2 linked regions of the Styela clava genome follow. The protein of the gene in region 2 interacts with the protein of the main gene of each other region in a pairwise test. Links are inferred from orthologs where the notes say so. Each region holds a gene or a part of one and is shown on either strand. Other genes may lie near its edges.

Region 1 (16,254 bases), on a different chromosome or scaffold from region 2:
CAAGATTTCATTTTTTGAAAAAAGAGACATCATCGCCCTATATATAAATACTATGTGTTCAAAATAAATAGAATTAGCCTATCAAATTCCAAAACACAACCTGTCAACTTTTGCAGCTTTGTACCATCCGCCATATTCTCCGTATGGTGCACTGTCCTTGTGCTTTCCACTGTATGCTGAGGCTTCTCTCTCCTCTGTTCAAAAAAATTCATTTGGTGGATTTAAATACTTATTTGGTAGCTGAATTTTGAAAATAAATATTTTACACTCCAGGAGTGATAGCACTGACGAATGGGTACCAGGTGTGTAGGGTGTGTACCAGGTTAGGGTTAGACCATAATTTTGTTCCGATTTTCCTTATTTTAGTTCTATTACGATTACGAGTTCTGGGACTGTCTGTGTTAGCCAGGTGAATATACCCCCTGCCCGTAGGTTTTAGCCACTTCACACAAAACTTCTGGAGCGCCAACAAATGAGTATCCAATAACTGACTTCAAGATATGTTACAGACTATAAAAATTGTCGATGATTCAGCTATTGTTCTCTTCAAATACAAATCTATTGCTTCCTAATCTGTCATTTATGATACTGGGATTCAAACCACTGTTGGTTGTAATTAAAAAAATATCCGAAAACGAATGGACATACCAGCATGCATCCAGATAGGTTTATTCTTCTCGTCAATACTTCCAAAATCTTTCTCATGAGCTTGAGTTAAGACTTGTTTATAAAGAGCTTCAGCTTGTTTGAATTTACTTTGTTTCATGTATGCTGCGGCCTGAAATTGAGAAATAAAACTAATTATTATATTTGTCAATTCGATCAAAATAAAATGCAAAACATTTGAAGTAAGGAAGTTTTAGTGAACAATAGAGGCATTAGAGATCATAAAATAATGCGTGTTGTGAAATAGACATAGCTGATTTAAAACATCCAAATTATTTCCTAATGACTGAAATTCTGTAAATAAAATCCAGCAAATAGAAAATCCTGCAGAAGTAAAGATATTGGACACTGGCTAGAAATTCGATGCGAAATAGCTTCCGTCTAAATAGTAAAAATTATCAAATCTTTGCAACTTCAATTTGTTGTGGTGATAAATTATCATAAAGAATCAACTCACCAGATTATTTTTTGTTTTAGCTACATTTGGATCATCAGGTCCCAAATTAGTTTCATAAATTTTCAGAGCTCTCTGATAATACTTCTCGACTTCTTCATATTTACTTTGATTTTGACATAGAAGTGCAAGATTATTTAGTTGTTTCGCAACGTCAGGATGATCTTTACCCAAAACCTGAGATAAGAAAAAAATTATACCAAGATCAAGCTTGGTTGCTGCATCCGGATCCCGAAGATTCCTGCTTACATTTATTATAAGAGCTAATTGTTTGAGATATTATTTATGGTTGTCAATTATGAAACATGTTTCTCCATGGTGCTTTGGTGGTGGAGAAAGTACTAGATTATGTGTATTTTGGTTTACCAACTGGATATAGATTCCGTATTACGCATTTGGCATGATATGATTGAACAAAAACGCACCATATAGCATAAAAAGGACACCCTGGAAAACTGGTCATTGCTTGTTCGGTTGACCTGATTTTTTATGAACTTAAATAGATGTGGCCCACATATTTGGCAACTGGCTTCATGCTCCATACGTTCTGCATATATAGTTATAATGTAACCAATGATGCCATGATTAAAATTATATTATCACACAGGCTTACATGAAGGTACATCCTACGAAACGGAACTGCAGGAAGAAACAAATACCTATTGGCTAAAGAGGCTACAGAAATTGTAAATAAAATGAAAAGACAAAATCAATATTCACCTTTTCTCGAATTTCCAAAGCTCTTTTGCACAGTGGCTCAGCTTCTTTATATTTACCACGTTTTCCATATAATACAGCAAGATTATTGAGCGTTGCAGCAACCTGAAAAATTATCACATCCTATGGCATGGCATCATATTTCAAGTATAGCTGAATAAATTGTAAACCAATTCACCAAGGAATAGCATTATACAAAAGTTTCAATGACTTACAGCAGGGTGATCAGGTCCAAGTGTTTTTTCGCGAATGGCAAGAGCATCGTTCAGTAGATTTCCTGCTTCTTTGTATTTATTTTGATCTCTGTAACAAGAAAAATTGCTCTGAATAATTTTATAATACAGGTCATGAATTTTTGATAATAAATGCAGGCCAGAAATTTCAATTATCATCAAGCATTCAGTACATCACCCAAAATAAATTATAGAAACCGTAATAAAGTAGCAAAGAAATAAAAATACGAAAATCTTAATAATGTAAACAAACCTGTAGACAAGTGCAAGTATATTAAGCATAGTAGCAACATCAGGATGGTCGTGTCCAGATGTCTTTTCAAGATCTTCTAAAGCTTGCTTACATAACGGAACAGCAACCTCATAACGACCTTGACTCGCATATTGGATGACGAGATTGTGAAGAGTACGAAGTCTAAAATTAGAAAATTTTGATGAATATTTGATTTTGGATGTATTCATAGAATTTGGCTTATTGTTGGAAAATGTGAACATCAACAAAAATAATGCTTCTCTAGTAGCCTATCTAATGATTGTTGAAAGCAATTATCACCAAAGTATTTCAAGAAAAACATGAGTTCAAGTTACATGAGTTCAAGAATCAAAAAAGTATGTTTTCAACATTCTCTCAAAATAGCTTTATCCACATTTCACCCTTTTGGGTTGAAATCTCTCGAAATCAGTTGTTTAAAATAGAAATAAACGTTCAACTTTCAATGTTTTTTTTTTTAATTGTTATTTCACCAATGTACCCATTTTAAAAGACAAAGTAGAATTCCAAAATATAAAAAATCCAACATAGAATATCTGAATATATGAAGAATTCTGACAGAGAAAACTTCATTTCAGTATCACATATAAACTAACTATACACTACCTGGCAGGAATCTCATATCCACCACTAGCAACAGAAGCAGCACTACTATGGCCAGGTGGTGTTTGTGGTATTGCACTTGATGTTGTTGTTTCCGCCTCTGTTGTATCGTTGAATAGATCTTCAATACTTCCACCAGCAGAACGTGTGTCGTCAGCCTGCAAAGTGTTATTCAAGTGGTAATGAAATATCAATACATGAATCAGGACTGAATATATCTGTATCTGTATGATATTTTCATTTAGAGAAATGAATAGATTTGACACAATGACTCCAAGATAACCGAACTAAAATCGTTCAGTTTCAGTTATAATAAACTCTCTCATACATGAGAATGAACTCAGATTCACAACTCATAATAGAAGCTTGAGGGAATAAATTTACCCAATATGTATGAATAAGTGTTATGAATCTACAAAGCAACAGATGTACTGGTACCAGACGATTTTATCTCTTTTATTGAAACAAAATTCAATAATCATTAACTATGCATGACTGAGAACAGTATATGGCAGGGCTACCTCAACTATTTTTAACGAAGGTCCGCAAACAAAACTTCAAAATCATTTGGGTCCGGTCTTTCCAGAAATGATATTTCGGCATCCTTAAACGAGCACTTCCTCGACCGACTAATGATTAGTAGCAAATTAAAATTGTTTATTATGGTGTTATAGTTCTTTTCGTATATATTCAAAACTATGAAAGTCATTTTATAATAGGAAATTCAAAAAGTTGGGCTAATGATCCCAAATAAATAATTAGGTGCGGTCCAAATCCAATACTCGAAAGGTCCGGATTCGGACCGCGGCCCGCCAGTTGAGTAGCCCTGATATATGGTGCACATTTCTCATCACAAAACGTAATATTATGATGAGGGGTTTTAACAAAATTGGTTAAATTAAATAGAAAATCAAGTTGAACAAAAAATTTCCATTGAATTCAGATAGTCTACTACCGGTTATTACGAATATCTATTGACAAACACTGCGGCATTTTGAAGGCACTTAGGTTGAATAGAATCAAAAATACAAGATTAGAAGGAATCAGACAACGTTGGTTGCATATTGCTTTAAAACAGTGAGTGTGAGTGACCAAGCAAACACAACATTAGTAGTTTTATTCACTCACATAGATGTAGTAAATTAATTTAATCAATGACTTTCATTAATTAAGAACCTATGCTCCTTCAGTAATTAGACTACAGGCTATGGTAATTATAATATTAAAATATACACAATTAAAATAAGATAATTTTATACTAAAGCCGCTCGTAATCAATTAGTATAATTGAAGAGTTTAATTAATACTTATAGCTCAGAAGATTTGATTTTTACATGAAGTATAATAATGAACCTATCGGTATTTGAATTGCAATAAGGTCATAAAACCGATAAATATTTGAAGTAATGTTATGATATTAGAATAATAAAACCACACATCAGTATGAAAAAGAGCAGAAACCGTTTGTTTAGCACTGTTATCAATGTAATGAATTGTTGTTTGAAACCTGAAAGTTATATATCAATTTGACAATTTGATAAAAGTTGTCAACAATATTTGCTTGGCCACTGTTGAATATTTGTTGAACTTGCAATTACTCAAACGATTACCACGCTTTATTTGTGTTTTCATACAATAAAATGAATTGGTAATTTGCATTACAATGTGCTCGATAACCATGTTTGCTATGGTTCTGTGCGGAAAAACCTACCGTAAATGAGAAGCAATAGAGCAGCAAATCATTGGATAGAAACTTTTGTTGCCTAGTTTACAATAATAGTTAGTTAAGATATTAAATAAGTTGACTTTTTAATTTACATATAAGTATCAAACTTCATCACCAAGTTAATAAACATAGAGATCACAATCACATTTAAAATGATTCAAAATATTCTTATAACAAGTTTCAAACAAAAAAGGAGCATTTTTATTACGGCAAATTATTATCGAAATCATGATTCAAAGGTAAAAATGTTCTCAGTAACAATGTTGCAGTGAAGCCATCGTTATGAATATTATTAAAACAACATCATGCTATTTGCAGCACAATTGGAAAAATATAGTGGTAAACTCCATAATATTAATAAACAATGATGTGCAAAAATATATAAATATATTACAGCTGTCCAGTAAGCTTTCCTAGTTTATAGACAAAAGTTACACAGCAAATGGCCCAGGGGAGTAGAGAACAGAATTCCCTGCTGAATAATGTATAAGTTATACCATAAAATATTGATTTGCACAATGAAGACTTCAATTATTGATTTCATCATTCTAAGAGTATATCTGACATTAAACTAAGATAAATCGTATGAATAAGTATAATTTATTTTTGGACCATGCTTGGCAAGAATTATAGTGCACATAAAAAAATAGATTTTTTGCCAAGAAAGATGCATCCACTTTGTGACCAAATATTAGAAGTACGATTTCAATAGTGATCAAGCATGAAGTAAGCTCAATACTAACGAGATAAGAATAATCAATTTTCTACATTCAATTCTTATTCTGTGAAGCAAAGATCAATAATATAAAATATTAACTTACAGAGTATTGCAAATACTCAGAGTATATTTGAAAAAAAATAAACGTAATAGCCTACTAGTTTTTTCTTCCATATTTACATGCTAAAATTTGATATTGATTGGTCCAATCTCAACAACAATAATTTGGCAAAATGATCCATAAACACACTTCGTGCCAATTAAATTAATAAAGTTAACCTAAGCAGGGTTGAATGGTAAATCCTTCATTTTCATGAAGATATCTGCAGAAACAAGGATTAAGATGTGAGATAGAATTTGTTTGATAACTTACTCCTTGAGTGTTTGTTGTGTCAGAATCATATTTTTTCACTGAATTCATAAATTCAAGATGCTTTTTCTCTTCTTCCAATTGTACAGTCTGAAAATAAATAATAGTTATTCTTGGAGGTTTTCATTTGATAAAACTGAACTTGTAAACTACTGCTTGCAGTAAATCAGCAAGCAAAAAAATAACCACCATTACTGTGCAGGCTGTGCCTAATAGAAGTCTAGTAAATACTAATTTCATACTGATGGCAGAAACAGGATAATTAATATTACAAATACTTGTGGAAACAATATTTTAGTATACAAAAATTAAAATATCCTGAAATGTGGCATGTTAAACAGAAAAGTTATCAAAATTAAATTTGGTAAAGCAGAATGTTTGAGATAAACATTCTTTTTGAAGGGCGAACAAATTTCTTTTTTTAAACACCAGAAATATTTTTCATCAATTCGTTTTGGACATCCCTGCTGTAAACTATGTTTAAGAATCTCAACTTCTAATATCTTTCTACCCTCACCTTCTGCTCGGACAGTTGTAACTTTTGTTGGGTGTTTGCAAGTTCATCCCGCAACCATGCATTCTCTTGACATAGACGACGTACTTGTGCTTTCAGTTTCTGTTTTTCCGATTCCACAGTATTTAAATGACAAGCCAATGATACAATCATCTACAAATAATTTGAAGTTTACATAGTTTCCTGAATTTTGTTACGCGAATAAAAAAAATGTCTATGTTGAGATGTTTTATTTTTTTTTTCAAATCTAAACAAACAAAAGGTATATTTTTTCTAAAAATTTGATATAATTACAGGAAAGTGTAATGATTCAAAATTTAAAGTCAACTGCAGAAAATATGTGAAATATGTAAAAATGTAAAAACTAAAGGATGATAATAGAAAGAACATAAAAACATACTTCTGCTTCTCCCAAACCAAGCTCAATCATTTCCAATGACTTTTTTATAATATGTGATTTTTCTTCAACAAGATTTACATCTTTGTCATTTTCTCTTCTTATTGCATTCAATGTCGCAAGAAGACTAAAAATATTCAATTTGTAGGAAAAATAAAAAATTAGTCATTATAAATAATATATAAAGATATAACATTTGATACAAGTATGATATTTTAATATTTGTAGCAGACATGACATTAATTAACCAAGAAAAGAAATACAGCTTACCTGTGTAATATAGAATTATGCTCGGTTCTCAATTGATCCAAGCCTTGTATAACATTTCTTGTATTCTGTAGAATAACATCTTGTGACATTTTTACTTCACCATTTTGTGTGGAATTTAATCCATCATTGCTTAAATTGACAGCAGGGTCATCCTGCATGACCATTGTTCCTCCAGACATGTTGATAATTCACCAAAAAGTATCACATCGATGATAAATTGGTCACAATTTAGAAATTAGATTATTGGTCTAATCTGTTAATACAGTACCGTAATAACTGAATAAATTGAACATATCTTTGACCAAATACAGAAAAATAAAGAACTGAAAAATGGAGAATCAATTGGGGTAGTCTACCTAATTCTAAAATATTTTTATACCTGGTACGGTAGTATCTACGTCTATACCGGTAGGCTACCTACTTTCAATGACGTAATAACTGAATACCGGTAATGCCCGGTATACCAGTATCAGAGTATACAGACTTTTAGAAGGATAGGATAGGATTAACATATTTATCCCGGGGGAGAGGAAAGTCGATAAGACAGCTTATCCATATGGCGAACCACGGCCTCTCGTCCGGTTAGCATTCCAAGTCGGGTATGGGATTAGTTTTACTGTATTGTTTGTTTTTCGGAAGCATGGACTTGGTGGTGGAGGAAGCCGTAACCGACCAGCGGTTACGTGAACCACCCAACGACGGCGAGGAGTCCAGCAATCCTCTCGCACATACAGACATAACCATCCCTGCATGGGATTCGAACCTGCGAACCCACGCAGAGTAATTAGAGGTGCGGTGGCGAGCGTATTCCTAATGCTTAGCCCGTTGAGCCACACCGCCGCGTCTAGCCTAGGTCAGTCAGTCAGTACTGCAGTAGGTACCGTACAAATTGACATTACCAAAACATTCAAAAAATTTATCCCTCCTGCCCTTATTCAGTTAATGCTGTAGTGAGCAATGCTCGTACCGCTCCCTCCTGTCTATACCCAATTGACTTGGATATTTTTTTATTGTGTGGTACAATTGCTTGAAACAATAAATCTCTCTATCTTCAGCTCTTGCAGTCTTGTAAGTTCTGAAGTTACGGTACCGGTATAAGTTTACAGGTTTATTACGAGAGGAACAACCACATTTTCACATTGGTACTAACCAGAAAATTCTCAAGCCGAATGGAGCCAAAGCATATTCATTTCAAGCAACGTTCGGGCGTTCTAAAAAACACGCCGTCATAATAAACGAAATTTGGTTTGGATTTTGGAATAATATAAAATCCTCATGACAGCCGGCCAGCTGGTGGACTATGCGATGACGTCACATGATCAACCGATCGGAATCTTCCCCTAGCGTCGATTCCCTTGTTTATGTCCATGAAAAGGCTCAATCAGCAATGAGTAAGTACACAATAACGTAACAATCGCAATCTATGCAGCCAGACACTTCTTTCGCACGGACCGATTTCCAAGTACAGTATTGTTGTAAACATTGCCACGTTTTCGTGATTTTGTGTGTTATTTGTCAGTTTTCAGATGTGTTTACAAAAAGTAGTTTCTGATTAAATACCTTAGTTGTCATTATGTCTTCTGAGGACCTTTAGTTTAGTTGCAATAATCCAAAATTGATCCCACAAACCTTGCGATAGACTATACTTAAATTATGGTCGGGGAAACGCCCATTTAAAAATATCACCATGTTCTGTTCACACAAATGTGTGCATACTTTCGTGAAAGCTGTATTGCCGAAGAAATGAGATTGATAGAGATTTTCCGTGAACTGAACCCTAGAGTTGACCAATTCTTTTTGTTGCGCAACCAAAAATAACATCACTTCTTCTTTCATTCGAAAACATGGGGAGCATGTTTTCCTTTTAGAGCCAACGTACTTGCGTATGATATAAAAGTGTAGTATGATCGGCATCGGCAAGTGTAGGAAAATCAAATCCATGCTTCCGAAAACAAATAACTGGTAACTGGACGAGAGGTCGTGGTTCGCTATATGATTAAGCCGTCTAATCGGCCTTCCTCTCCCCTGCGATAAATATGTGAATCCTATCCACCTATATCTTTACAAACCTTGCGTAAGAGTCTAGTGCTGAGCGCTAAACTTTTCACGTAATTATTTACGTCACTCTAATTACGTCAGACAAATGCTCGTAAAGTCTCCTCGGAATGGTTTTGGAGACAAGCGCCGTTGAGTGAATCATGTAATAATTTCTTTAAATTACTGGATTTTTCTGCTTTATGAGGGAAACCAATCCTAATCATGGCAGAAGCGCCAACAGGCTTACTCCAACTTAAACCAATATTGTTAAAAAATCAACTAATACTTAAAAAGCATCCACTGCCTTTGATGTTCTTTCCAAAGGTTGGCAGACGAGAAATTCTTTAGTAATCATTTCACCATCAACATATCTGGCATACACAAGTAGAAATGTAGTAGTAGTCCAGTTTAAGGGCAAAAACAGAAGAGGAGTCAATCTTTGATATTACCTTGCTCTTAATATTGTCAGACATTTCATTGATTCTGAATTTTATTATGTCGTTGGACAGCGAAACTCGTTTCTTTGTTTGATATGCTATCAGGGGGGTTTCTCCAATCGTATGTGCCTCTTTAACCTTTTCCACATACAAAGCAATGGCAAAAGATGCATGTACAGAAGTATTGCTAGTCTGCCAAAAAGTGCCGGATTTGTCCAGCTTTTGACTTTTTAGACAGGACAAAAAACGACATTCATAACCTTTGACTTGTTGTAACTTTCGCATTCGTCGATGCAAAAAGAGGTGACGCCTGCGATTCCTTGCTCTGTACGTTAACGCGTCCAGGCCTGACTTGCAGTATTTCTTGTGAATAGGATAGGATATAATTTACATATTTATCCCGTGTGAGAGGAAAGCCGATGAGACGGCTTATCCATATGGCGAGCCACGGCCTCTCGTCCGGTTACCATTCCAAGTCGGGTATGGGATTAATTATATTGTTTGTTTTCGGAAGCTAGACTTGATAGTGGAGGAAGCCGTAACCGACCAGCGGTTACGTGAACCACCCAACGACGGCGAGGAGTCCAGCAATCCTCTTGCACATAACCATCCCTGCATGGGATTCGAACCTGCGAACCCACGCAGAGTATTTAGAGGTGCGGTGGCGAGCGTATTCCTAACGCCTAGCCCGTTGAGCCACACCGCCGCGCAATGTTAAAACGCAATGTAATGGTGTTTCGTTGCTGGATTCATAGAAATACTGTATTCAGATGCGTTATGATATTTTAGTAAAAAAAAACGTGCACGTGTACGATGTACCGTCTCGAGATGCCATGTTGTTCTTCAGATCAATAACTCGGATAATATTGATACAGGTAGCTCATAAAATATGCTACAAGAAGAGTATTCTTTTTTTAAGTTATAAATTGAGATTCGATGCGTTTTCATTATTGTTTATAAGTAATAACACTATCAGGCTACCGATATGCATGGATAAAAATTGTGCTTACAAACAATTACAGAGTAAGTATATCAATTGCTGTTTCAGATGTTCACAATTTAAAAACTTACAAATGAAGAAGACCTTCATGCCCGAGCTCTTACAACCTAATCACCAAAGTTGCTGTACATTGATTGAAATATCAAGCCAACTACTGAAGAATATCTCAGAAAACATGCTTCTGCGAGGCACATACTGGGACGGTAAAGAGGTTTAATCAGACTACTGTATGATATAACAAGTTCACAATTACAAACTTCTGTACTAGCATTTCTCTGTCGTGTTTCTACTGAAATTGTTTAAGCAAGGAGTTTGTGATGTCAAAGAAGCTCTTACAGATGTTAAAAATGAGAGAACCATAACCAATTAAGTAAAATCTTTAGGAAATACTGAACTATTAGCTAGCAACCTTTCAATTTTCCACTCTTGCCTGGAACCTTGAAGACAGCTAAAATGTATTAGTAACAGAGGAAATCTACTACTATTGTGTTCTTGTATTTACGCATATTTTTAACAAATTATATCTCAACACAAAGTGAATAAATTCCATTGAATATTCTTACCTGGGGATGGCACCCATAACAAGAATGATTACTATTCCCAGGGGTGTAAAATGGGTGAATTGTTATAAGAAATTAAGGTAGTAGGCTACAGTGATTTTGTCATTTTCACCTGAGAAAAAGAATCGAAGGGCATTCGCATAATCTATATGCTGATATGTGAGTGAAGCAATGTCTTCTATCTGTGCTAGGGTGTAATTAGATCAAGGATAGCATAGCAAAATTCTATATTTGACCATAAACTGCTGATTGTGACTTTTCGTAATTGGGAATGAGAGGTTCCAAGAAATCAGATACAGATCTTCTGCTTATGGTGTTCTTTGGTGATGTGCTTGCTATTTCAATCAAATGAAACTTCTGTCCGTAACTTTTTATAAATGAGAATGAGAAGTTCCCAGCATTCAGATACAAGTCTTCTTAAGAAAAGTGGTATTGTATTTCAACCAATTGATCCATGAACAATTACAAAGCAACTATGATGACTGTTGTATGTGCTCGAGCATGGGCGGGTTCTGCTGTAATTATCTGCAGTCTAATCGTGAACATCTGCAAAAATGTGATATACTATTTCAACATAATATGGTCCATGCGGGCGACTTGGTGCCGCGGGCAACGGGTTGGTGATCCCTGCTTTAGAAGATTGTTTTCCCACGTTCTCAATTACTAGGAGATAGAAAATATTACCCAACAATTTGCAAGTAGTATATGTTTTCAAGATATCGATGGGAAAAGGGGCGCATCTCAAAGCTATAAATATTAAAGATGCCAATCAAAAATATTTCAATAATTGAAATTGTTCATAATTCTTTTTCCATTTTATTGTGCTTCTGCATTTCAAGTTTTCATGCCGTTGATTTAATGGTTTTCAAAAAGTTCATAAATAAATATCAAGTGAAAAGTACTGCTCAATCCTTTACTTCGATTCAAATGCTAGATCAATATACATCAGCAATCAGCATCCTCTCCTCTTTTGTGGTTGCTTACATTTGATCTTTACTATGAAGAAAGGCTTGAAGGTGAAATAATTGCATTATCGAAATTTCTGGGAAAGAATCTTCATCAAGTAGATGTGTTTTTCACTCTCCTGCCAAAAAAGCCTTGTCGGATTTTAAAATGTCCAAATGGATTCCAAAAACTTGTTATGTGGAATTTACAACTCGTAGGGGAAGGTTGGGACACTTTTTTTCTTTTTCATATTCTGAGCCCTTTATTCTGCACATTCATATGACTTTGCGGGATTATTGCAGAGAGGGGTAAATGTATATTTTATTCAGCGACTAAGAAATTCCCTTGCGACACACATCTTACCACCAAAATGCTTTGAAAAACGTTTGTCAAGTGTCCCACGGTACCCCACTTGTGGGGCACAATGGGTCATTCTGTTAAAATTCAAGGAAGTATGCCCTTAAAAATAAGCAATCAATCAGCATAATCGTCTAAAGAACAGGGAGACCTCAAATTTGAAGATTTAAGATTTTTAAAATCAATGTTCAACCGAAATATTTCAGATATTCCACCAAAAAATTCGCTTACAAATCAAATCATTTTCTAATTCGAATCTAAATCTGGAAATATTTTTGATTCTCGAATATATTTCATATTGGACCATGAGTCGAAAGATACCATAATGTTACATAAAAATATAACGCATCTATAGGTCTCTAAGCACTTGTTGTATCAAACACTGTCGAATTGTGCCATGTAGAGCATGTCCCACTGAACTCCGGTCCATTGTTCCCCATAATCAACAAATATCTTCAGATCATCTCACGGCGAAATTCGGAAGGCACATCCACTCGCCAACGTTATAAATATTTCACAGTGGACTATAGCTTAAAGATATCAAACGGTGGTTTGTCACGTTGAAAAGGCTAAGTTAGAAAAAAGAAAAAACTGGAACGATGAAATTTTAGTTTCAACTCCCCAAAACCAATTTCACCTCATAGCTTGCGTCGCTCTACCCGTCCGCTGTCGGTTTGCGGGGACGTTGTAACTCACCGAAGGGCGGATTGAAACATCAAACCGCGAACCGGATTCCGAATATAGTATTAGTGTGAGAGCTGATTTTCCACTGTGCCCCATGTCCCAACGTGCCCCACCTTCCCCTACGTGTTTTTCCCATTTTGAAGTCTCAAAACAATCTTCATTTTCTGACACATTTCAACAATTCTTCGCATTTCAGTTATCGCGCGACCTCTCTTCAAGCAAATTTCCCTGAAAAGGTATATATATATAATTCAAGTTTGAGTCAAATTTTATTAGTTCAATAACATTAAGTTTTAATATTAAATTGCATGACTATAAAGCCTGAAATTAAATTCTAATCACGTTATTTAGCAAAAATTGTGTATATTCCAGCATTTACTGTCTCAAATATCTCTGTTTCCAGATTCATATTACCGTAAATGACAGCAAATAATTAATTCTGAACGACAACCAGCATCATATATATATTAAAGGTAGGCTTACCATACGTCCCGGTTTAGCGGGGACAGTCCCGGTTTTAACAAGCTGTCCCGGCGTCCCGGCCGGTAGACTCAAATGTCCCGGTTTGGCAGCTCGGCTGCCATGGGTAAAGGTTTATATTCAATATTATTATAAATTTTTATTTTTTTATTGAAGACAGCCCACTTACCACTGATTTGCGACACACTTTACATGTTCAGAGAGGGAGAGAGAGAGAGAGAGAGAAATTTGTCTATTGTTATGTCACAATTGTGATATGTTTTAATGCGTCACCTGATGTTAACTGCTCTGACGTTAAGTTGTCGAAATGACAAAAAGAAAGTGCAAATTTTCCAATGCGTTGAAGAGAGATTTTCCTTATTTGAAGCAAACTGAAGGAGGAAAAACACTTTGTACTCATTGTAGATCTGTTTTTTCTATTAGTCATGGCGGTCGTTCAGCTGTCAACGATCATCTCCAAAGCGGCTCGACTGACCAACTTCTTTGCGATAACAAATTCGAAAGATTCTTTGTTTTGCAGCCAAAGAGGCCACAGTTGCCTATCATACTGCTGTTCATGGCCAAAGTTTTTACTGCACCTCTAAATTAATTTCAAATTTTTCTTAGCCTAAATTTGCATTAGTCAGAACTAAATGCGAGTCGGTGATTGTTAATTGCATTGCTCCACTGCTATCCTCTGAACTCGTATCAGTAACCATCGATGCATTAAGCAGAAAAGATTTAAAGCTTGTTCCAGTTGTGGTTCGTTATTTTTTAACTGATGTTGGTGTGAAAAAAAATATTAGAATTCAAATCTCTACCCGGGGAAACCGCCAAAACTTTTACTGAATACTTGCTCTCTGTTCTCGATCAAAAACATTTAAAAGGAAGAGTTGTTGGATTCTGTGCGGATAACTGCAACACCTACTTCGGAGGCGTAAAAAGACGCGGTACAAATATTGTTTATTTCAAACTAAAAGAAAGCCCAAAAAGAAAAATATATAACCGGTATAGGATGTGCGGCTCATGTAGTTCATAACTGCATTCAACATGCCGTAGATACTTTGCCTGTGTGTGTAGAAAGTCTGCCGTAGAAATTTATAAATATTTTTACATTTACACTGTCCGAGTAACAGAACTGAAATCATTCTGCGACTTTGTTGATATTGAATATCAACGGCTATTGCAGCATGGCAACACTCGGTTGCTCTCATTATTACCTGCTCTGCAGAGGATAACGGAAATTGAAGGCTTGAAAAGTTATTTCAATTCTCAAGAAGGATGCCCGACTCTTATACAAAAATGTTTCGACGATCCAGCGTACGAACTTTACTTGAAATTTGTCCTTGGCCAGCTCACCTACTTCAAAATTGTTCTCATTTTGGAAAAAGATAATACTAATGCTGTAGATGTTGCAGATATTTTGCCTGAGGTGAAGCATAAAAAATGGAAAGTGTGTTTATTCCATCGCAAGCGATGGATAAAGAAATATTTATCCGAGCATAGATCAAATGCAATTTGGCTTACTTTGCCCGTTGAGGATAAGTGGATAGAAAGGTTCAAGAATTTTTCACGCAAAAATATTAGTATTTTGAATTTGCAGAAACTTATTGAATTTGTATTTTGTTTGCCTGAAACATCGGCATCTGATGAACGGCTTTTCTCAATTGTTAAAATTTTTTGGTCTGAAAGCAGAGGCGGAATGCTAGAAGAAAATATTAAAGCACTCGTCCCCTGCAAAATTAATGGGGATCTGCCATGTTATCAGTTTTATGACAAAATCAAATCGAACCAAGTATTTTTAAGAAGCGTTCTTTCTGCGGACAAATACTTTTGGTCTAAATAAATAATACAAACTAATTTTTTGTGTTTTCCTAATTTAAAGACCAGTAGAGATTGACAGCTGTATTTACCCTCAATGGCATGGTAGAAGTTTTAATATTAATTGGCAATAGACTGAATGTTTGCCAAATCGCACCGTCCCGGTTTTTTGTTTCAGATATATGATAAGCCTAATTAAAGGGCTCGTGGGCCGTGGCACACATAAGACATTATTCAATCATTTTGAAATTGGAAATCAGAAATTAGTACCATAGTTGAATACACCGTACCTCTATGTTCCACATATACGCGCCTCATCGGCCCCATAATTAACTCAATAACATATGCAACGGGAGCCGACTAGTTGACGATTCACACCCCACATATTCCAAGTGTATATTCCAGGGTATGTCGATGTGGCCGTGAGTGAATCCAATTTTTGCCAAATATTTCTCATTCCTTTTTACGCGACCCTTAATCATATTAACAAAGCTCAATCCAAACAATCCACTGATCTCTATAGCGATACGTGATGTGTAATGCGGGATTCCAATATATAGTTGAGTCTGCTGTCTCGTGCTTTACCGACTAGGCCATGGTGGTCCAGGCACGCGGGCCACATGTCAAATGTCGTAGGACTAATGTGGCCCGCGGACAAGACAAAATAAATATTGTGGCCCCCGGCGCCGACAACCTAGGACCACCATGCACCAGGCCATCGCGCTCGAAATTATCCGCGTTGTTCATATAATTATCATCAATATAATCATGAAATGTCTTGGCGGATTAATCCAATGATTCTCTGAAATTATGACGTCACAAGGCCACAAAATTCACGTAAAAATCGTTCGACAAACCTTTCACTTCGTTTCCTGCTTCTTAATTGGATAACCCTTCCATTGGAAGCAAATTAGTACTGGAATATGCGTCGCAAACGAAATAAAGTGGATGTCATTTCGGATGACTACTGTAAATGCTCGTTTTAACGCCCGGTCTTGATTAAGGGCCCGTTTGA
Region 2 (15,639 bases):
CTGACCAAAAGACGGCCCTTGGTGTTAACTTGTGTGTTCTCATTTACATTTTATCCAGGTGATTGTCATCCTGAGATAACTGTACTTCAATTCTATTCTCACTCTTCAACTGACCAATGACAGCACAGCACAATGGTAGAGCATTGTGGGTAAAACCACTGAAGCATGCTTCCTGGGTATAAATACTGCCATGCTGGTCTCCAGAGGTCATTTAGTACTTTGGCGTAGCAGAGGCAACATGTGTCTTACGTCTAACTTTATATTCTGTTATTTGTGGTGACAACTGATCTGTTTATGTTAAGTATTGTTTGTGTTCAATAAAACATCAATTTACACCAATAAACAAATAGTCCCCTTCTGGAGAATTTTAACTCCTGTTTATATTTATTGTGTTATTTTGATTCCTAGATTCCAAATCCTGTTATGTTCAAACAATTCATGCTCAATATAGTGATAACATCTTGTGAAATAACCTCATCAAGCAATGAAATTAGAAAGAACCGAGTTTTCTTGTAAGGGGAAAGTAAAATAAGTTTTGCGCCTAGCATAGTGTCCCCATTGGAAGCCGCTGATCTATAGTGACAGTAGGTTTAACGAGTCTGAAGTCCATTTCCATTTTTAAAAAGTCCATTTCTGAAATAATAGTTCCCTATGCTGATATGGGACCAAATGGATTTTTGGAGCAAAGATGGATAAAACAAAATCATTTAATATTCCAAATACATTTTAAAATAATGTTGTTGACTTGAATTATATTATATTTTATATATATTGCAAATTGAGTTTGTTTACCAAATAATATGTAACCTATTCAGGTTTTTGGTCACAACGTGAGACTTTCAATTTATAGGTAGTGGACATTACATTACATTTATAAAATATACACAAATTTTGCTCAATTATGTAGTTCTAAACATGGGACCAAATTGAATTTTTACGCAAGAATCGGTCAAACCAAATAATGTACTATTTCAAATACATTCTAAAATACCGTATTTTCTGGCTAATGAGTCTAGATCAATTTTTAGTGCTAAAAATCAGGGTTTTTCAATATTACCACCTGATAAGTCGAGGCAGAAAAATAGTGTTACTTTGTCTGTTTTGTTTCTTTTCACCTTGAAAGGCCTTTTTTTTCATTATTTTATTCATACAATATGTATTTTTAGTATAAAAACTACTTATTAGACTTCAATTGCCACATTTTCAAATTAGTCCTTACCAAATAATGAATTTACTATGTCAAATATATATTTCAAGTCATATTGGAAATCCTCTTACAAGTTTAGTATTTCCAAACACAGAGAGCCCCAAAGGCAAAGTCTAAATCGAATAATCGTCAGTGCGGCAATGACAACCATGTGAAATAATTTCAATGATGAAATAATCCATAGGAGAAAATCACTTTTTTATGGTAATATAACTCAAAAACATAAACAACATTGACGTACATTGTGAAAAGTTCAATTGCGAGCAAGGATGACCAAAAAGATTCTATTCTTTTTACTATTACGAATACATTCTGGAATAATATTTTGAATATCATAAATTTTTCCTATGAAGTATTTATAAAACTTTTCTATGTACAAGGCAGCCATACTGTCGCTGTAGTTTGGGAAGAACGAAATGTTTTCAGTTTGACATCGGCTACATAATTCATTCTATCCAGGGTGAAGTGGCGGGCATGGCATGGACATTGATCCCGAAATATGTAATCATATTTACTGGTAACCACTAGGCCAGGGCTACTCAACTATAGGGGCTCCCGAAGTATGCGAACCAAGATGGCGGACATCGGAATGTAATATGTGTACTAGGTTAGGGTTAAGCCATAATTTTAGGTATAAATACTACGGGAGGCTCTTGGCTAATCTTCAAACTGATAATAGGACTAAAATAAGGAAAATTGGAAAAATATTATCGCCTAACCCTAACCTGTTACGTTCCGATGTCCGCCATCTTGGTTCGCATACTTCGGGAGCACCCAACTGTATTTACCGAAGATCCGCATACAAAACTACAAAATTATTTGGGTCCGGTGTTTCCAGAAATTATATTTCGGCATCCTTTATTAACGCCCACTTCCTCGACCGGTCAATGATTATCAGCTAATCAAGATTGTTTATTATGGTGTTATAGTTCTTTTCATATATATTCAAAACAATAAGTCATTTTATAAAATGAAACGTTAAAAATCAGGCTAATGATTCAAAATAAAGATTGAGATGCGGTTCAGATTCGGACCGGGGTACGCCAGTTGAGTAGCCCTGCACTAGGCGACCATGTCCACACTATACATAAAGTAAATTGGGTTGCATACAACAGGCAAGTTAAAAATAATCAATATAAAAAAACAGTAGAAACAGAAACCCTTTCATTTAATTAGTGAGATTTCTCAAATTATAAAATATCAGAAACCTATCAAATAACTGTCTATTTCACTTTTGTGCACACCCGAGACAAACAATTTTATTTGCCTTTTCAATGAGCAAGACTCAAATTAGAATATATTCGATATTTTTTAATAAACGTCTTTTTGAATTCAAAATATTGAATATACACTGTATGGTAAGAACTTTTACTTCCCTGATACCTCATATTCAAAATATAATTTTAAATGTATTCAGTTTTGGCCAACTTTGAGCACAATATTCCACTTTATATTATACGATAACTCAATTAAATTGAAATTGGCATAGATTTTTAATGTGGAAAAAGTGAAAAAACATTTCTCATACCGGGCTTCCAAAGGTAACTTGCTCAGCAGAAGGAAACTTTGCCAAGAATTGATCCCCTCTTGTCTTTTCTGATGGATTGAGCGGCCGAAACCGACACATTACCTGAAAAAAAATATAGAAGTACGCTTATTTTATAGATTTTCGTCCACAGGTCTCACATCAAAAAATGGTTTTCTGTCGCAGCACAGGAATAACGAACCATGACCTTTTTTCCCGAAGCACATCCTTATTTACTTCCGTAACATTAACTAATCAGTAACATGCAAAAAGTGACATAACAATGGAAAATTTTATCAGTTGTTGAGTAGGCTATTGCTGGTCTTTCAGACAAATTTTTGGCATCGTTGTTAACATTGTCAGTTTTTAGTATTGTTTCGGATTCAAGTATGGATCAAATACCCTAATTATACTTTCCCTCACTTAGAGTTTTAGTTTAATAGCAGTAATCAAAAAGTTGTCTAGAAATAGCAGTGATAGATTATGCCAAACTTTTTTATCGATACTTCTATATGAAAGGTGGTTGAATATTTTAAATCAAAATGTTAATTTGAAACATCTAAACTTCCCACATCAGAAATTTTTAACACAAATTCAGTATTTCAATGAAAGCTTGCAACTCTCCTTTAATTCGTTCAAGCCAAAATTAGGTTAGTAATGAAGCTGGATATATAGATTCAATCATAATTTGAAAGCCTGTTTTTTTGGGTCTATTGGGCTGTCATATAAATAGTTGGATAAAAATAGATAATTGGTCCCTATTTAAATGACAATCTTGGTGGAGGAGGACTATTGGGATTCCATAGAGATGAGCTGGTTAGGAGATATGGTCCAAATCGCCATTTAAATAGCATTCTCTTTAGAGGTCTCATTTCAGGTGTTTTGGGCTGCCATATAGACAGGGTTGCCATATCGTGCTTATTTATAAGATTTATGCTTATTCTCTAGCCTGCGTCTTATAAAGTAACTATGTGTTTATTTCTAAGAAAAGTGCTTATTTTTGAGTTGCGTGCTTATTTGGTGTTAGAAACGTGGGTGACCAGTACTTGTTTTGTGTACAAAGCTTGCGTGGAAACGACAGACGAACTTTTTTCAACGGTGGGGTTTGCGGTATTTCCAGGCAAACTGTGACACACACAATAGTTGATGCTAGTTTTTAGGAATACTGTTTTTAGGGACTAACTGCAATTTAGAGTAAGCGTGACCATGAGTTCTGTTTCGAACATGAAAAGAAATTTTCTATTAACTACTGCTATTGCGACATCGAGAAAGGTGGAAAACAGTAATCGGTGCCCACAATACTACCGCATTGCGGGAAACCAAAGTCGCTATTAAAGTGCAAAATTTGAATTTCTAATCTGTATAAATAATGTGGTTCATCAGTCACCCGTTCAGTTTTTAGCTTTCTGGAAAAAATATGTGCCGCCCGCCAAGATTCGTAACACTTGGTTGCCGACCCTTGTCTTAGAGATAGCGTGTGGCAGTGACTCCGTGTCTTTCCATTGCTTTTTGCAATTTTGGAGCTGCGTACAACCATGTTCGAAGCGACTTCTAATGATAAAAAGTGGGAGACTCGTGTATGATCTCCTTCTCATTCTTATTCTGCCGTTGTTAAGACCCCTCCCCTTGAAAAATACCATTTTGACGCCCGTGCTTATTTTTGGCTCTGGGTAGATGGCAACCCTGCATATAGACAAGTTAAGAATGGGGATGGATATAAGGTCCCAGTCACCATTCGAATGTTCTCTTCAGTAGAGAGCTGCTGGGCTATCATATAGACAGCAAGTTAGGAATAGGGGTGGAACTATAGTCTTAATCGCTATTCGAATAAATGTGCTTTACACTAGAGGGCTACTGAGCTGCAAGATAGATAGCAAGGTAAAAATGGAAATGTGGTCTAGGGCTGGGCATTTTCGAGTACCTTGTGATTTCAGAATCGAATCGAATAATTTTCTCGAATCGAATCTCGAATACTTGGAAATATATAATTGTAAGCGACTTTATTATAGTAATTGGTCCTCTCAACAATTGAATTACCGAAGACATAGAATGATTCACTCAGATAGATTACTGAGCGTTCACACAGAATAACAAACACGTTTTATCAATAACTCACTACAGAAAATAGTCGTATGTTAGAATTCCGTTGAAAAAATATGACTCTAATAAAAGAAAAATTAGGGAATTCACCTCGACCATTAGCGGAAAGATAAAAACAAGATGGCGGCGATTCGAAATTTAGCTCTGAACCGATTCGAATAATTTACTATTCGATTCGAATATTCGATTCAAAATGCCCAGCCCCAATGTGGTCCTAATCATCATTCAAATGGCATTCTCTGCAGAGGTCTATTGACCTACCATATATACATCAGGTTAGGAATAAGAATGGGTATATAATAGTACCAATTACTATTTGTATTGCTTACTCTTCTCTGTCGAAAGTGGTACATTTCTGAATTTATAGTCTATGTCACAATAAATTAACCATGTAGTACTCTCATTTTTTTCTTAACTCAACTTGAAGTTTTATCTTCTTTCCTGAATATCTGTGCTGTGTGTTCGTCTTGTATATCATAATTTACTGTTTGGAACAATGGCAAAGTTAAGACAAATTATCTATCTTATCAAAGTTGTCAATCATCATTTGATCGGTTTCTCCATACATGGCACGTGGACAGAAGGTTAGGAGTAAAGATGGAGATAATATGGTTCTAATCTGTACATTAATGGTTTCCCCCATATGGACATCATATTAGGGAAAGATATAATGTTCTAAGCGTCATTTAAATGGCCTTCGTAAATGGCTATTGGGCTGTGTGATACTAACCAACGTCAATAAACATACACAATACCTTTATGCTGCATTCTGCCGATGAAGCCTCTCCTGCGTCAGTCATCTTGAATCAAGACGCCAAACAGTTCAGCAGTTTATAATCCAATTCTCCAAATGAACGTTGGAATATTTTCTTCTAAATATTCATATGTATTTGATCAAAGAATACCTAACCAAGTGAGATATTACTACTAATAAATCCCTGTAGAACAAGAAAATATTTTTAAATTTGTGAATGATCATAGCAATAGCAACTTTCAGTGTGCACAAGTGTTCTAAAGGTTTTTCAAAGGTGATGCATCACTATGATTGGGGTCTTACTACTTACTGAATAAAGCGTGAAACAGAAGAAAAATAGCACGAAATACAGTACACATTGAAGTAAAAAGAATATAATGATCATAAAATATATTCCATGATTTCTGTGAAGCTAGCAAAAAAATGTTCTCTAGCTCTGTTCCGTTCTGCATCCAACAATACAGCAATATGAATTAACCCAGTTAAATCAACCTCCTCCTGAAAGAAAACTTCAAAATGTAGGGTGGTGTTGCCAGTCTGCTGACGATTCCATTCAAACCGCTATAAAACAAAAACCAATATTTCGAACCCGTTCACCGTAGGTGCATTGGCATTTATTCTACATGCTAAACCTCGAATTACCTTTCTACAACCAGGGGATAAAGCTATACAAACCACCAAAGTACGACACTCGGAAGACATATTTGCGACCGAACAACCAGTGTGCGACCACAGATTTCAAGCTTTAAACATCGTTTCTGCTGTGTCAAGACTAGGGCATACGCAGCCATGCATGAAAAAATGGGCTTCTAATTGCATTTCTGACCGTCATATATTTTAAGAACACAGTCATTTCGAACAAAACTCGTCAAATTATATACAAAGCACCGCATCACAGCAATCAAACAGACAAAAGCACGGTGGTCACAAATTGGTCGGCAAAGATATTATCGACGTATTGGAAATGCGCACCCCCTATTCCCCCTCCTTTACAACGTAAAAACGCGAAAATTTAAAGATGGTTGAAAGAAACACAACTCTATCTCTTATATTTGTATGAATTTTCAAGTTTTTTTGATGGGACAATGGGTAGTTGGCGACATGAAAAAATGGTCCGTTTCTTTTCCTCGGTCAGGTTTTCGGTTGTAACTTTTTTGTTTGTGACCGCATTTTAGTGTAATTTCGCAGAGCTACGAGGGACAAGTGGACGGTAACGTGTGAGAAATATCGTCACAATTCGATAAATTTTCGACATTAATTAGATAGTCGAAGTTGATGGCCGCAATTAGGTCTTGGGCGCAAAGTCAGAAAGTGGGTAAGCCACCCTAGTGCTGTAGTGACTGTTTTTGATGAGCAATGCAACCCAAGCAAATCCATTTGCAAACTCCCAATTATTTTGTTGCTATTTTTTATTCCACAGATAGTTCAAATAGAATACTGGAATGAGATTTATTTAGGCCCATCCCTCTTTCAGTCTTTCGCAATAACTGAATAACAGGAAAAGAGACGATCTGCAAGATTTAACTACTTTGATTTGTAATATTACTATTATATTGCAACAGACTATTATACATAATCAGTTGCTTAAGCAAACTAGTAAAACTTAATACCGGTACTACCGGTAGGTATTTTGTCAAGCTGTCACGGTCAACAGGACAATCAGCTCAGAATGGCAGAAACAATACGGCTGAGATTCCACTTGGTTCTGCATTAAAACTAAGTCTATCAACTCATTAATGGAATAGGCACACAGCCAAACGTAAAAATAACGAAACCTAAAATTACAAACCGAAATAGCCTTGTCGAGGCAACTGCAAACCCTCGAATAACTAAAAATCACAAACCGCCACCCCTCGACACCTGCTGTCTCAAAGCTTTCACATCGATCGTTCTGTCTGGGGATGACGTCATCGTGCCGAGATGACCCGATTTGTTTGACCTTTTAAAAAGTATTAAACGACCTTTAACATTTTATGTTCAAGAGGAAAGTATACAAATAGTGAAAAAATAAAATAAATTAAATAAAACAATTAGTATAGATGATGTTCTCGTGTTGTTTAGCCACCATGTACCTTTTCATTCAATAAAATATGTAGTCTCGAACACGGACTTGAAGCCAAACGATAGTTTGTGGTTATGCAGATGGATGAAAAAAATCTCATAAACTCTGCTATGACAGGATGTTTCCCCGTGCAGCAACTTGTTTGTTTATTTCCGTAACAATAACAAATCAGCAATAAGTTAACAATGACGTAACAATTGGAGTTTATAGATATTCAAGCATGGTTGTAAACATTGTATCTTTTTGATAATATTTTTTCCAGGGGTCAAGGGTCGGGGAAACGTCCATAGAATAGGGATAACACACAAAACGGAAATTTCGGAAAGTTTTCAAAACACCTTGCGACATAGAATATAAGTGAAAAACATCGCCAGCTCTATGGAATTTCCACAAATTTGAAAATACCAATATAATACCACTACCAATAGTCAATACAAATGTAATATTAGATTTCTCCATTAAAAAAATATTGCACGATATAAGAACCGCAACCACATTTTTCTTTTTTGAATTCTAGTGTGTATAAAGTATTGCCATGATCTCCTTTCGATCAGTGTCTCACATCCTAAATTGATTTAAAAGGTATTACCCGATTTTATATCGTGTCTTTATTTTATTGTGTTCTTATGACTGCTCGCCGTCCAGGTCCTCTACATTTTGTTTGTCCGTTTTTTTTTTTTTTCAGAGTGGCCACAATATGATAATCAAAATTGATTATGTCAAGTATTAAAATCCGGTTGCCAACAGTTTCCATTCAGACATAAATGCACAGGCTTCCAGCCTTCCAATGCTGCAAGCTGATACGCTATTGCATAAGTCAGGATAGGAATTTATCCCGTGGAGAAACAGGCCGATGTTACGGCCAACCACATCGCGCACAAAATTATGTCGTCCGATGACCAGTTCATGCGTAGTATACATAAGTATAGTTTACCAGTTGTTTGTTTCGTGGATGGACTTTATGGTCGAGGGAGTCTTAGCTGACCAGCGCTTGCGTTTAGCAATCCTCTCGCACATAATTGTCCCTCATTGGATTCGAACCTGCGATCCGGCGCCGGGTAACCGTGATCTAACGCTTTGCACCCTTCGCCAACTGCCGAGTCCAGTAATTTGAGATAATTAGTCTGGGGTTGCCAAGCGTGACGTTGATTAAAATCTGTTAATTAGGTAAGATTCTGATCCAACGGTCTTCGTCGGTATCGGTGGCGCAGGGGAAGCGTAGAGACATGGTTACACCTTGGGCCAGGTATAAGCGTGGGTTCGAATCCCACGAGATAGACGGAGCTATGGGAAAGAACCGTGTGTGGGTTAGGTAGAGACAGTAGGCGAGGAAGGCAGGCATAAGGTAGGACCGCCAAGAGCAGGCGGGCAAGTGAGATGAACAAGGAAGGAAAGCGGACGTGCAGATTAGACGGGAAGGCCATGAGAAGACAGTAACGCAGATTGGAGTGGAATCACTAAGGCAGATGAGTCATGCGTGAAAAAAGAAGAGCCTGGGCTAACTCTGCGAGGAGGAGATAAAAGGGAGAACCGCCAGGAGCAGGCAGTCAAGTGAAATAGACCAGTCAGAAATGAGGACAACGGACAACAGACAGACGGATGAAGCGGAAGGCCGGTGCGACCACCAGAGCAGGCAAAGGCGGATCCAAAGAGAAGACCCCTATGTGTAGGCAGAGGATAGCTAAAGACTGGGAAAAAAGAAAGGAAAAAGAAAATAAGAGGAAAAAGAAAAGGCTACCAGAGCAGGCAAAGGCGGATCCCCATGTGTAGTAGGCAGAGGATAGCTAAAGACTGGGAAAAGAGGAAAAAGAAAAGGCTGGGAACGGGAGGAAAGCCGAAAGAAGGGCATACCGCCAATAGCAAAAGCAGGACAATAAAATAAGATAAGCGAGAAAGGATCAGGCGAAAAGCCGAAGAAAATACAGGAAAACAGAAAAAACAACGCAGGTGTGAGTGAGTCAGGCAAAGAGTGCCAGAAGAGCAGGTCCAAGACAAGGAGGAGAAAGTAAAAGAGCATCTTCATCCTATGCCCGAGATTTGGATGTAGGAAAAAGAAAACAATGCTTGCTTAATGCCAACAAGGAAGCGGAAAGACAGCTCTGGCTGACCCAAGGGAGCAAACAGGCCCGCGAAAATCAAGATGCCACACCAAGACCGGCGAAAAAAAAACTATTTTCCCTTTTTTTTTTAACGGGCGTCAAAGATTAAGCAGCCATTTTTTTGGTCGTCGAGGATGTAGGAAAGAAACCGTGCCGGCGGGCGAGCTGTATGGTCAAGCCTCCACTCCGGTTTTATCCGTGAAACAATTTAGGCGACTCCAAACACTACGAACTAATTTACGAATTTATTCATTCGCGAGGTGTCACTCAAGATCAATCAAAGTGAGTGATCAGTTGCCATAACGACGTTTTGATGACGCGCTTCTTCTGCAAACATTTGAGATAGCGATAACTTTGTAATCAAATTAAATAATTCAGACGCGATAATTTGATTAATTTGGAACATTATTGTGATAATGATTATGTTATTTAGAGAAGACCGTTAGGTTATTTGTAGTTTTAGCTAATCGCAAGTTATGTACAAATATTATATGCAATGTAAATTTGCAAATTAAAGCATTAGGAAAATAGATAGATAGTTTATTTCGAAAACTCCATAACAAACATAAATTAAATATGGAGAATTCTGGAGGGCAAGCAAAACCTATAAAAAAGTTTATAAAACAATGAGAAGTATCTCATGTGCCTGCCCACAAAAATACAAGCCCAATTAAATGAGGCTTGGGCCAAACTTAACAAACAAATGTATGTATACATGATAGTAATAAACTATTGGGCTGTTGTACTTTTTACAAGGTACCGGTACAATTTACTTGGTTACCGGTGTCCTGGCATTGATATCATGAACTGCCAATAACTGTAAAAAGATGTAGCGCAAACAAAAAGCAGGGAGATTCGCTCTGTGTCTTGTTGTTTATTGCAGTAATCTAAATTGGTCTGGGGTTTCAGAGATTGGAAGTGGTTTTACTGAGACAGATGTATTTATGTGGAGCCACTCACTCAAAGCCTCACAGTTAGGATACAGTAGGATAGGATTTACATATTTATCCCAAGGGAGAGGAAAGTGATACGCCGGCTTAAATATATGGCAAACCACTGCCTCTCGTCCGGTTACCAGTACCGGTACATGTTGGGTATGGTATTAGTTAGCCAATTATTGGTTTTCGGAAGCATAGGCTTGTTCCACATTGCTCCTTGTTCTCAATGAAGCACTAGCCCAAATAGTTGCAATCAACTACTGAGAATTTTAAGCTTCACTGATAATGGAAAATTGGTTACTTCCAAATAATTTATACCATTCCAAGTATTAGCGAAAGGTTAGCATTCGTACAAGTTCATTCATCTGAAACAAGTTAACTGGGTAACTATTTCCATACGCAAAATGCACCGGTAATCATACAAGAGAGCATGGTTGCCATATGTTAGGCCATCTTAGCAGCGTTTCTCTCCCTGGGACTAAGATCCTATGCCAAAGATAGCAATGAGACACTGTCTGAAAATGGAGCATAATACTGCAATAAATGAAAATAATGTCATTTAAATTGTGGAATTCCAAATCTGATTACCAACAATATATTATTTAATTTCAGCCTATATATATCTTCTTTAATTTGTCTTAAAAAAGCACAAAATGCCGAATAAAAAAGGGTCCGAAAATAAAAAGAAAAAGGCGGTTTATCCGCCAGCATACTCGCCAGGAAAGAGTAGCACTCTAAAAGAGGTCGAATCAGAGTACATCAAAAATCTGCAACAACAAATCTACTTCCTTGAGTTAGAAACGACATATCTACGAGATCAAGCGAAAAAAGCGACCGATATTCAACCAAAATTAGTCAAAGAAGCTGATCAAATGATGACTCAGCTCAAGGAACGACACAGCGAAACGAATGATCTCAAAATCGAAGTTTCAAGAAAGGACGCTTCAATCTCAATGCTCACAAATGAAAAGAATCGTCTTGATCAAGAACTCCGAGCGAAAGTAACAACGTTTGACGTTGATAGAGGAATGCTCCGAGAAGAAATTATCCAACTTAAAAAGCTTAAAGACGTTGCTGATCGAGATATAGCTCGAAAAGATTCTGAAATTGTAAATTTACGACAAGAATTAGACCGCACAAATTCAGATTTACGACACACTCAACACAACTTAGCTCTCGTACAATCTCAACTTGACCAAAGAATCACTCAACACACTGAAACCGCTTTACTTCTCGAAGGGAAACGAGAGGAAAATCTACGCTTACAATCTGACATGCATGCAAGCGAAGAGCGACATTTCCAACAAACGGCTACAATGCAAGAACAAATCACTCGTGACCTGCAGACAGAAATTCGAGGGCTTAGGCAACAAGTACGAGAAAAAGAGCTCGCGTTTTCCCAAGAAAGAATTCTAAAAGACAAACTACTCGGAGATGTCTCGAAATTGACTCAAGAAAACACCGCAGTTCAAAGTCAAATTTTGGAGTTGTCGAAACAACTGGACCGCGAAAGAATCCTTCGCGGAGAAAGAGAAACAAGAGCTATGTCACATACATCTCAAATTGCGTATCTAAAAGGTCAAGATGAGGTCAAATCGCTAGAGTCGAGAAAACTACTCGATATGATTGAGATTCAGAAACAGCGATGTCGAGAGTTAGAAAACCAAATTCTGAAAATGCAAGATAACATGTCACACACCAACTTTCAAGGAGAGACAGTTCGTTCACGCTTGACTGAACTGGAGTCACGGTTCGCTAGAGTCGACACTGAAAATACACAACTTCGTCATGACAAGCAGTTACTTGTGGAACATGTTGCGAATATACAGCGTTCTCTAGATCAAAAAGAATCGGAAGTTCAGCGTTTACAAACCCATGTTCACACCCTACAAACCGATGTATCCAGAGCGCACACTGAACTAGATATGACAAGATCTCTCCAGTCGATGAAATGATTTAATTTTAGAAATAGAAGGACATCTAGTGGATGATAATATTCTTATAATCAAAAAAAATGTACACAAAATGGCCGACGGTTGGAAATAAGACTATTAGTGACAAGTACAAGTGTAATAATATTGTTACTTATAATAGGAAATCACCCAAATAATATTTTGTTTTTTCATGAGATATTTTACATCAGCAGTTCCCCAAATTGCTTTGGACATCACCATTTTCCACTGTATTTTTATTAAAATTAATGAGTAATATTCTCAAATCTAATTATTCCTACAAAATGTTTTAATTCTATTTCTTGCTTTTATAGATATAATCAATTGTTCATTTGTGCCTTGTTACTTTTTCAATCTACTTTTTTGAACAATATTTGATTTAGGGTTATTTTGTATAAATTTTCTTGGACATAAATATATTTCACTGTATTTATTTTTCAAATCTATGAGTAATATTCTCAAATTGAAATGTTCCAACAGAATATTCAGACCTCTTTATTTATTTTTAATTGTATTTCTTGCTTGTATGTGTACCAATATGGAGGGAAACTAATTTTGTTCGCCTACGTTACATCAACTTGTGTAAAGGGACCGAAACCTATGGGCAGGGGATATATTCACTTGGCTAACACAGACAGTCCCCGAACTTGTAATAAAATTAAAATAAGGAAAATCGGAATAAAATTATGGCCTAAACCTAACCTAGTACACACACTACGGAAGTACCCCTTTTTCAGCAAATTTGTTTTAAGAGCAATTTTGTTTTTTGTATAAATTGTCTTTAGAAACAACAATTCGGGCTATTCTCCATTGTATTTTTATATATTATCAACCTTGAACCTCAGTAATTATGAGAAAATTGTTTTTATTTTTTCAACAAAATTGTGTTTTAAAATTAATCTTGCATTAGTTTTCACTAGCAATAAATTCCTTGCCTAATTTGATTTATTTTATCCACTGTATTACGCATTATCATTTGTTATTCGTATGTCAAACATGTGGTTGGTCTTTTTCTGGTTATTACTCATCGATTTTAATCGGTAAGTATGTTGATTTGGTATTTGTCTGTCTGTATGTCTGGTAGATGCACGCGATATCTCACGCAAGCGAGATTGAATCTGCTCCAGATTTTGCATGTGCATTAATCTTATCTCGGACCAGAAGCCTATTGATTTTAGGCGAAATATGTCGTATAATTAGCGAGTTATTAATTAATTAGTGATGGGACACAGGGTGTCACTATGGAGTAAGAGCGCTGTTTTGGGAGATCCCCTAACTTTCAATCGATAAGTCTTTGGTCTCTGACCGATATTCTCGTTATTTTCTTTCGTTTTTGCAGCATTTGAAATAACCATGTTATTTTGAATTTTTTTGACCATAAATCAGATTTGAAAGCCCCAAAAGCGTTAATTTCATAATAATAATCATGCCTTGTTTCTATTTAACGTTTTTTTCTCAAATTCGTACCTCATCATTTTTTGCTCTGAACAAATTCTAGTTTTTTACACAAGCGGTCATTTATATTTAATTTATCTTCAGTTGAATATTTAACATTGAACTAAATTCTGCATTATAGAAGGTTAAATTTAAGCGTTGAACAGTGCCTGGACAAGCAGTTAAAAAGATCGGGACATTTTAACTTTGTGAGAATTTGAGCAAAACACGCCTCTGGACTGGCTGAATTTCTAATCAGATTTTTCAAGTTTCATGATATTATTGTGTGTTTGTAGCTTAAATCATGTTACTCCTAGTGTTGTAGAAATTTTGTTTCAATTGTGTTTATGATTTTCGAATATATTCCTGCATGATACTTCGCATCGTTATTGTGAATGGTGGGATTTCAGAATTACGTTCATTTTTAGAAGAAGTAATTTACATATTTATCCCAAAACCGATAAGACGACTCAATCATATGAAAAACTACGACCTCTCCTCGTGTCGGGTACAACATTCACAGTGTTACAAAAGCAAAAGTGGAAAACAATAAGCCTTGTGACGAAACTAAAATTAACTGCAATTTCAACAAATTTCTTTTTAGCTAAAACATCATAATATGGTTTTAGTTTAGTTGGCATCAGGCGGGCCAGATTGAATTACCCAACGGGCCGGATTTTGCCCATGACAGGTTAAAGACTAGGTTGAGTAACCCGCCTATATTAATTGGTAGGCAACTTCAGTGATCAGAACTGCAAATTCAGAGTCATACTTCCCAGCCCTGTCATTTCTCTGGAGAAATGACAGCAAATTCAGAGTCATACTTCCCAGCCCTGTCATTTCTCTGGAGAATATCTGGTAAATAAATATGAAATAAATGATTGCTTGATTCCTGACTCTTGCAGCGTGACTCACAAAAACACTGTTAGATTGCGGCTTCCTTCACTACCCATATGAACATATAACTACTGACCTTGTGATCATAGACTGTTTAATAAGTTTTTCCCTCCTAACCTGAGAGGATCCCTGTGGCCCAGTCCGAAGCACATAAGTTCAATCAAGCCCTCCCTATCTCAGCGGTTCCCAACCAGGGGCCACTGGCCCCCCACAGCAGCTGGAGGGGGCCCCAATGCTAGGCGCAAAACTGATTTCACTTTACAAGCAAACTCTCCTATTCTTCCCAGTTTCATTGCTTGATAAGGTTATTTCACAGGGTGTTTTCATTTTATAGAGCATGAATTGTTTGAACTCAACGTGATTTAGAATCTACCAATCAAAATAACACTATGAATACCTCTGGAATGATAAACAGGGAGCCATGAGCACTATAAGCATCTAAAAAAGGGCCACATGCTATAATAAAAGGTTGGGCACCACTGATCTAATCTCTCTACGACTCAAAATATGCCTTGCACATGATGAGGTTATCAATCCTCTATCCAGATCACACAGGTATTTTTGTGAAGATTTCAACAAGATTCATTGCAATTCAAATAATATATTGTATTCAAGAGGCAGCATTTGTAGAAACAAAATACACGATTGATTGAATACAGTAACATTTCCCA

What was found.
Region 1: the proteins of kinesin heavy chain-like (region 2) and kinesin light chain 1-like interact in binary tests that used the Drosophila melanogaster proteins (3 or more experiments, as listed by UniProt). The link is inferred for Styela clava from reciprocal best matches to the Drosophila melanogaster genes Khc and Klc.

What each region holds. Positions count from the first base shown.
Region 1 is NC_135255.1:2,450,601-2,466,854, reverse strand, and holds the start of kinesin light chain 1-like, read right to left. Parts: upstream 7,226-16,254; 5' UTR 7,119-7,225; coding exon 6,940-7,118; intron 6,797-6,939; coding exon 6,673-6,796; intron 6,426-6,672; coding exon 6,276-6,425; intron 5,849-6,275; coding exon 5,762-5,848; intron 3,103-5,761; coding exon 2,948-3,102; intron 2,486-2,947; coding exon 2,324-2,485; intron 2,141-2,323; coding exon 2,053-2,140; intron 1,943-2,052; coding exon 1,841-1,942; intron 1,298-1,840; coding exon 1,124-1,297; intron 779-1,123; coding exon 649-778; intron 195-648; coding exon 101-194; intron 1-100. UniProt on the Drosophila melanogaster protein: Kinesin is a microtubule-associated force-producing protein that may play a role in organelle transport. The light chain may function in coupling of cargo to the heavy chain or in the modulation of its ATPase activity.
Region 2 is NC_135262.1:2,466,546-2,482,184, reverse strand, and holds the start of kinesin heavy chain-like, read right to left. Parts: upstream 5,767-15,639; 5' UTR 5,633-5,766; coding exon 5,588-5,632; intron 2,838-5,587; coding exon 2,736-2,837; intron 1-2,735. Other genes in the region: uncharacterized protein LOC120332555, read left to right, coding at 11,339-12,640. UniProt on the Drosophila melanogaster protein: Kinesin is a microtubule-associated force-producing protein that may play a role in organelle transport. Milt and Miro form an essential protein complex that links Khc to mitochondria for light chain-independent, anterograde transport of mitochondria.